Linked DNA regions of Ovis aries. The protein of the gene in region 2 interacts with the protein of the main gene of each other region in a pairwise test. Links are inferred from orthologs where the notes say so. Each region holds a gene or a part of one and is shown on either strand. Other genes may lie near its edges.

The links.
Region 1: the proteins of RASSF5 (region 2) and RASSF2 interact in binary tests that used the Homo sapiens proteins (3 or more experiments, as listed by UniProt). The link is inferred for Ovis aries from reciprocal best matches to the Homo sapiens genes RASSF5 and RASSF2.

Annotation. Positions count from the first base shown.
Region 1 is NC_056066.1:46,778,004-46,781,748, forward strand, and holds the start of RASSF2 (ras association domain-containing protein 2), read right to left. Parts: upstream 2,737-3,745; 5' UTR 2,676-2,736; exon of another isoform or gene 2,370-2,675; intron 2,280-2,369; exon of another isoform or gene 1,518-2,279; intron 1-1,517. UniProt on the Homo sapiens protein: Potential tumor suppressor. Acts as a KRAS-specific effector protein. May promote apoptosis and cell cycle arrest. Stabilizes STK3/MST2 by protecting it from proteasomal degradation.
Region 2 is NC_056065.1:4,108,460-4,112,204, reverse strand, and holds the start of RASSF5 (ras association domain-containing protein 5), read right to left. Parts: upstream 2,661-3,745; 5' UTR 2,613-2,660; coding exon 2,150-2,612; intron 1-2,149. UniProt on the Homo sapiens protein: Potential tumor suppressor. Seems to be involved in lymphocyte adhesion by linking RAP1A activation upon T-cell receptor or chemokine stimulation to integrin activation.

The sequences.
Region 1 (3,745 bases), on a different chromosome or scaffold from region 2:
TCTGCTTCCCCTCTGCCTCCAGCTCCATCCCCTCCCCCACCTCATCCTCCATAGGAACCCACAAATAATCAAACAATTGAAGTTAGCAATCATGGGCCTGTGGTAGCTAACCCAGCCTTAAGGATTTATTTAAAATTCTTCTGGAGAGGCAGGGAGTGTTTAAATGGCACGGTATGTCACTGGGATAAATAACTGGACCATATTGTGATGAGTAGTGGGATTAGTGAGGAGGTGCAGAAAAGGACCACTGCTCTAGTTTTATAAACTGCAACTATGGCTTGAAGACAGACTGGATGTCTCATTCCATCCCCCAAAACCCTGCTGAGACCTTCCCAGTTTCTCACTCTGAGCAGAGGAAAAGGAACGTGGACAAATCCTGAGACTGCTCTTGGGATCGTCCAGTTTCCCCAAACTCTCCAAGGGATTCTCTGATAATCTCGTCCCACCTCTGCACAACCCCAGAGAAGTGGACTCTGGAGCAGAGTGAAACCACTCTCAGGAAGGTGGGGATGCTGCCAGCTAGAAATACAGCAGGGGCAGATACTGTGCAGGCCCTGGCCTGCTCGGCCAGGTGTAGAGGGCATATTACCTTCCCCTGGACAAGGATGTGACTAGGGGCTCTGGTCCACTGGCCTTCTCTCAACCAGGTCCCCCAAAGGTGTCCTCATCATTCCAACCAGATTTCACCAGCATAAAAACAAGGGTATGTTTAGGTTGCATGTCACAGATCTACTACTCAGTACTCCACTTCTGCTCTCCCTTTTTCTGAAGGAGGAGCAGGATTCACCTTCCAGCTTTCTTAGCACAGGGAATCCTGAATTGAACCAGGCTGGACTCCCAGGCATCGCTACCTCCTTACCCCAGGGGAAGAACTACCCTCTTTCTAAAGCTACCCTGCCTCTCTGAGCTCAGTCATCCTTTGAGGCCCTCTTCTATCCCCCTGAGGCCCACTGGATTGCTGCAGCTCTCAGGCATCAGGCTGACCTGTTCAGAGGAGAAAGCACAGTTGCTGCCCATACTCATGGCCTTACTTCAGAGTCTCTGATCCCAAATGGGCACCTCGCAGGCTGACTTCAATTTTAGTCCCTGAAACACTGAATTTGGACACAAGTTTAAAACAAAACAACAAAAACAAGCAAACAGACAAACAAAACCTCTTCTCAAACAACGTAATATAGCTTAGCCATAAGAGGTTTAATTCTTCAGACCACCTGAAGAAAAAGTTTCCAGTAAGTAAATGTAGATTGATGAATAAAATAAATCCAACCCCAGGTTCCTCAACCAGATGCTCTGGAAAGAAGGCCCCTGGTTCTGTCTCACAGCTGTTTAAAAGAATCATTGTTTCTAATTCTTTCTTCCCATTGTGCCAAGATCAATTGTGACAGGGATTGTTATTTGTCAGCTCATTGGTGCCTACATTCACTCATCACATGTAAAGTACATATTATGAACTTGGCCAGCTCTAGACAACTCTGTTCTCTGGGAGAACAAGCTCTAGGGATCCAGATTCCACGCACCTGGGAATAAAGTGCATCGCAGGGTTCAGAAGCCTGGCCCTCAGCTCCTTCTGTCACTGAGGGGCAGAGGTGCAGTGAATAACTCAGGACCCAAGGAGCGCCCCAGGATAAAATGGAGCCTCATGTCTCCCTGTCAGGCGACTGTGTCTCTCTCTGTCCCTAGGGCTTTCCCAGCTTAGGAACTGAGTGCAATGCAGGGGCTCAAAATGCAGTGGTGGCCGAAGTCGGCCCAAGGCACTTGCCTCTTCAGTGAGACAGGACGCAAAGCCGAGGTTCTCAACGACCTCAGGCTCTGGAGGCAGGCCAAGAGCCGGCAAAGGGGAAGTGCAAGGAGGACCGAGGCCCCCAACGCGTCCAACGCCCTTCTGAAGGCCAAGGGAGGCTCAGGCGCTGTTGGTTGGAACGCGCCTCCAGGGAACCCTCGGTTCAGTCGGGAAGAAGAGAACCGGATTAGGATCGGACACCACCACCCACCCAAACCCCCGGGCTGTCGGGGTCTGACGTCCCTGCACCTGCCCGCCCGGCAACTTCTCGCCAGGGAGTCCCGGGGGACCCCGGGAATAAGGTTGGGGGGTGGGGGGCTTCCTGCCGCCGCCCTTGGCGCGGAGAGAAGGAAGAAACCCCCAGGGAATCGAAGGGGAAGGAAGAGCCTGGACCACAACTTTGTCCCTCAGAAGGCAGGCTGGCCGGGGTTCCGCGCCTACGCGGCCCCAGCGGAGCCCGCACAGCCTGGAACCCCCAGCGTCTGGGAAAGGAGGGCGCCGAGGCACTGAGGGGTTGACACGGAAGAAGCAGGGGACACTGCGAGCAAACTTTCAGCGAGGGGAGAGAGGACCGCCCAGTACACCACACCTCGCGCCCCGCAACTTGCTCCGGGAGGCTTGCTCCCAGCCGCCCGCGCCCCGCGCCTTGCCTGCGTCCGGAACCGGCTGCATCTCGCGCGCGCTGCGGGGACCGTGGAATTGGAAAGTAGGGGGGCGGGGGTGGCCACGGAGCTCGTTCAGCAATCGGCGGGCCAGGATCCCTAGCAGCTCGGCAGAGCTGGCTGCAGCCGCGCAGCTGGGGGTCGGGCGCCCCGCCCCCCTCCGCCCTTCCTTGTCCTCTCTCCCGCCCCTCCGTCTTTATCTGCCTCTATCGGATCTGACCGCCCTCCCTTACTCTTTTCTCTAGCTCTCCACCGCTCCCTCCACCCTCCTTCCCTAGCCTTTCTTCTTCCCCCTCCTCTCGCGGCCCCCCGCCCCCTGGGGGCGGGGCTTCTCCCCTCCCTCCCAGACAAAGCTGTGGCTGCGCGTCGCCTCCTTCCCTCCTGCGAGTCAGGGCTCAGGCTGCCAGCGCCTCTTCCGGCCTGGGGTGGAGGGGTAGAAGTAAGAGGGTGGGGAGAATGAGCTGGCTTGCTCACCGCGTTCTCCAAAACCTCCGAAAGGGATGTAGTCTTGGCCCTTGGCTCGCTCTGGACGGTGATAGCCACTCCCAGAGATCAGTCACTCTGCCCCGCGAAGCCCAAGTCGAGCGCCCTGGATTCCCCAAGCAGAGAATATGGGATATGTTTTCTAACACCTGCTTATTCCAGAAAGGGTTTGAGCTGAGCAAGGCCCCTTGGACTTCGCGGGCTTTCGCGGGCTGGCACACATGACACCAATATGGAGGCCAAGTTTCTTTGTCCTCTCACCTCCCCCTCTTAGCCATCCCTGAGCCTCATGGCCTCTCAGTGCACAGGGATCCCTAGAGCACCCCAGATGAGGGGCGCCTTATCTGTTCCCTCCTTCTTATCGCAATTCTCCCCCAGCCCCACAAACATACTATGGGCTTCCTGCAATGCAGGAGACCTGGTTCTATCCCTGAGTCGAGAAGATCCCCTGGAGAAGGGAATGGCAACCCACTCCAGTATTCTTGCCTGGAGAATTCCATGGACAAAGGAGCCTGACGGGCTATAGTCCATGGGGTCGCAGAGTCAGAGACGATTGAGCGACTAACATACATACTCCAGACCTGTAGAGTTGATCTCCAGGCCTTTTGGTGTCAGAGACTAAGGGTTAAACTATACCTCAGGGTACAGCTGGGTCAGCTCATCCCTCCTGGAAGCCAGACACACTTTATAAATTCATTGTTTGGTGCATGGAATGTGTTTCCCTTAGAAACAATGTTATAAATGGTGATGTGCTTCCCAGGCTGGCCACAAAAGTCTTTTGAATCCAAAATGCAGCTGAAGGTTAGTGGTGAAAACTGTG
Region 2 (3,745 bases):
CAGAATACTGGAACGGGTAGCCTTTCCCTTCTCCAGGGGATCTTTCCAACCCAGAGATCGAACCCAGGTCTCCTGCATTGCAGGCAGATTCTTTACCAGCTGAGCCACAAGGGAAGCCCTGCATAAATTCATTTAATCATGGAGTATCACGCATATACACAAATAAACACAGAGACACCATTACCAATAACAGCCCCGCAAGTCGTAAAACTATATGCCAAACGTTCAACAATTGATACAGTCCTCCAGTGTCTTTTCCACTCTTACTTTTAAACTTTTCTCGGTTTTTGCCATGCTGCACGGCTTGCAATATATTGTTTCCCGATGAGGGATCGAACCCTGCAGCGGAAGCACCGAGTCCTAACCACTGGACTAACTGGAAGTCCTCAGTGTCCTAATACAAACTAGAATTCCAGTGAAGCAGCTGTCCTGGGATTCCAGCACATTAAAACCCATTACAAAGAGGATACTGCCTCTCTATGTTACTGTCGGGAGGCAGTCAAGTACCCCAGGGCCCTTGAGGGGGCAGAAGCTGCAAACACATCTGTGGGAAAGTTGCATTTGATTCTGCTGAAGGTCAGGGCGATTTGCCGAGTGACAGCAGCCCTCCGCCCACATCACACATTTCTGTGTCCATCCCCCTTTCCTTATTAATTAGCACCTGAACTGAGTTCTGATGGTGGCGGGAGCAGAACCCACCCCCACCTCCCACACTCCTCTTCCGCTCGATCCTGGCTTCGAGTCTGAGCTCTGCTTCCCTGAAGCCAGCTGCAGTGGGGAGCACACTGAGCAGCCTCGGCTGGGGACTGCAGAGAGGCCGGGCCAGGCTTTCCTGATGAGGGCGTAATAGCTGCTGCTGCACAGTGCTACAGCTGGATGGGAGATGGGGGCTGCTGTCATGAGGGAAGAGGCTTGACTGAAAGATGCAACCCCAGGCCATTTCCAGAGAGGCTTTCTAGATGCTGTACCATCGTCTGCACTTTGTGCTTCAGATATTTAAAATACCTATATAAACACATACGCACATGGGGGTGGGTATCGTCAAATATGACCACAGCAAATATGGGGTGGGGAACAGGAAAAGAAGAAATCTATTTTTCTAGAGAAATCTAATAGGAAAAAGATCTATATTTCTAGATAAGTCTAACAGGAAAATCTATTTTTCTAGATAAATCTAATAGGAAAAGAAGAAATGAAACATCACTGAAGAAATATACACACCTAACTGCTGGAAGAGAAAAATAACAAACCCCCAAGAAGACCGCAAATGTGCTCAGAAAATCTACACAGTGGATGTCCAGTGTTTTATAGTCAGGCTTTGAGAAGATTCTGGCTCAGAGGAGGAGGCTGGAGGGACCTGAGAGCTCTGGGGAGAGTGAGACAGGGCAGGTAGTTGGGGAATTCTCGAGCCTGATGCCTGGTGCAGTAGCCAGTAGGAGGAAGGGGAGGAAGCAGGGCCCAGCCAAACATCAGAGCAGAGGGCAAAGGTCCGAGGGGCCAGAGGTGGAAGGCCGGAGAGGGCATGGATCCAGGGTCACTTCACCCTCTTCTCAAGCCTCATGGCCTCTGTCCATCCAAAGCCCAACCAGGTCTCTTCCCTGTCCCCACAGGTCACCCTGGAGGAAGGGTGTACCACAGGCAGGCCGACAAAGTTATCTGCCATTGTCCTAATAAGCAGGGGCCAAACGGTCATCTCAAGAGTAGCCTCACAACCCACTCTCAAGAAGCTACAAAAAAGCAAGAGAGGGCCCTGGAGACAAGGGAATGATCTGGTAGCATCAGGCATCAACCCCAGCCTCTGTGTGTGTGTGTCTGTGTGTGTGTGTCTCTGTGTCTCTGTGCGTGTGTGTGTGTGTGTGTGTGTGTGTGTGTGTGTGTGTGTACTGGCTGTTTCTGGAGAGGGGCAAGGCGCGCACCTGTCAGAGGAAGAGGTGTTTGTTAAATATCGCATAAGCATACCTAAGGGCACTAAGGAGCAGAGTGTGTCCAGGGGCTACCTCCCTCGGTGAAACCCCCGGTCTTCCCTGGAGCCGGAGCGGGCAGCGCCCCCTCTCGGCTCGCCCCAGCCCGCTCGCTCGCAGCCTCTCGCGGGCGGGCTGCGGTCTTCCCGCGCCCCCCAGCCCCGCCCCGCCCGGACCCTCACACTTACTAGCGCAGCGCAGCGCGCGCCGCCACACCTCTCGCCCGCACAGGTCGCACCAGCCGCGGCCGCCCCGCAGCGCCAGTTCCACGAAGCAGTGGCCCTCGCCTCGCTCCGCCGGGACGCGGGGGTCCTGCGGCTGCTCGAAGATGCTGCGCACGTCGCGGGGCCGGGGCGCGCCGGGCCGCCGCCGCAGTCTCTGCTGCAGACCAGGCCGGAGAGGGCGAGCGGGTCGCGAGGCCCGGGGCTGGGGCTCCGGGTCCCCCCGGGCGGCCCTCCGGGCACCGCGTCTCTCGTGCGCGCCTGGCGCAGTGGAGAGGGGCGCGGGGGCGCAGCGGCGCGAGGAGTGGCCCGGCGGCGGCGGCGGCGGCGGCAGTTCGGGGCCGCTCAGGCTCTGCAGATAGCGCGGCGGTTCTGGCTCCAAGAGCAGCCGGTACGGGCGCTGCCCGATGGCCGGGGACGCCATGGCCATGCCGGCGGCTCTCCGCGCTGGCGCTCCTCCCGAGTCCGCCTCGAGAGCGGGGCGGCCCCAGACCGGCGCGCCTTTAAAGGGGCCGCAGCCGGCGGGGCGGGGCGGGGGCGGGGAGACCTCGGAGAGGCAGGAAGGACGACGCACGGGAACCACCGACCGCCCTGAACAGGGGCGGCAGTGGGGGACGCCTGGGCGAGTGTGGATTCCGGGGAGTCTTCAGGTAGCCGGGGCAGCTGAAGGGTTGCACGTGGAAAGCTTCTTACAGGACAACTCGGAAGAGGCTTTCTGTGGGAGCCTCCTGCCTTCAGCCCTCCTCTCCTCTCCCATCCTTCACCCCAACCCCAGATTTTCACCCGCCAACCCCAGGTTCCCACGCCCCCAATCCACACTCCAACCCGCCCCGAGGAGGGAGCGGGCCGGAGGGAAGGGCTTAGAAACGGAGAATGGGGGTCCAGCGAGACGTCCGCCGGCTCAGAGTCGGCCCGCTGGCCTCCCGGTTTTCACGCGCCCCCCGGCCCTTCCCCTCCGGCGCTCGCCGCAGTCCGCCGCCCCCGCGCGCCCCGAGCCCGGCGCACGCAGGGGATGCCCGGCCGCGGCTCGCGGGCCCACGGCGGCTCCGAGTCCCGTGACGGCGGGGGACGCTTCCGATGCTGATGGCAGCGGGCTGTCCGCGCGCCGCGTTCACCCTGGTTGGATTTCCCCTTTCGCAGCAGCCCTGGCCGGTAGGAGAGTCCTTTCCCGGAAGACTGGAGTTCTGGTGATCCTAGGTCCGTGCCAACACTCCGGGCCCCCGTGGGTTGGGAGAGCTTTCCTTTCTAAGTCAAATCTGCCTCTCCCCATAGATGTTCTAGTAATTACTGTGGAAATACCACCACCACCCCCGCCCGCAGAAGCCCTGCTTTGCACCTGGTGTGGACAGCCCGCCTGTGGGACTCAGAGAGAGATTCCCTTCTATCAGTCCGAGGACAGGCTTCACAGCCTCCCCCCTCCTCTCGATTTTAATGCTCTGCTGTCCTCGCCTTGAAAGCCTTAACAGTTTTTGAACAAAAGGCTAGCATTGTCTTTTAGCCCTGTGTCGCACCAAGTAGGTAAGCAGCCCTGCCCATCTCTCCTGGGTGGGGAACCCGGCTTGC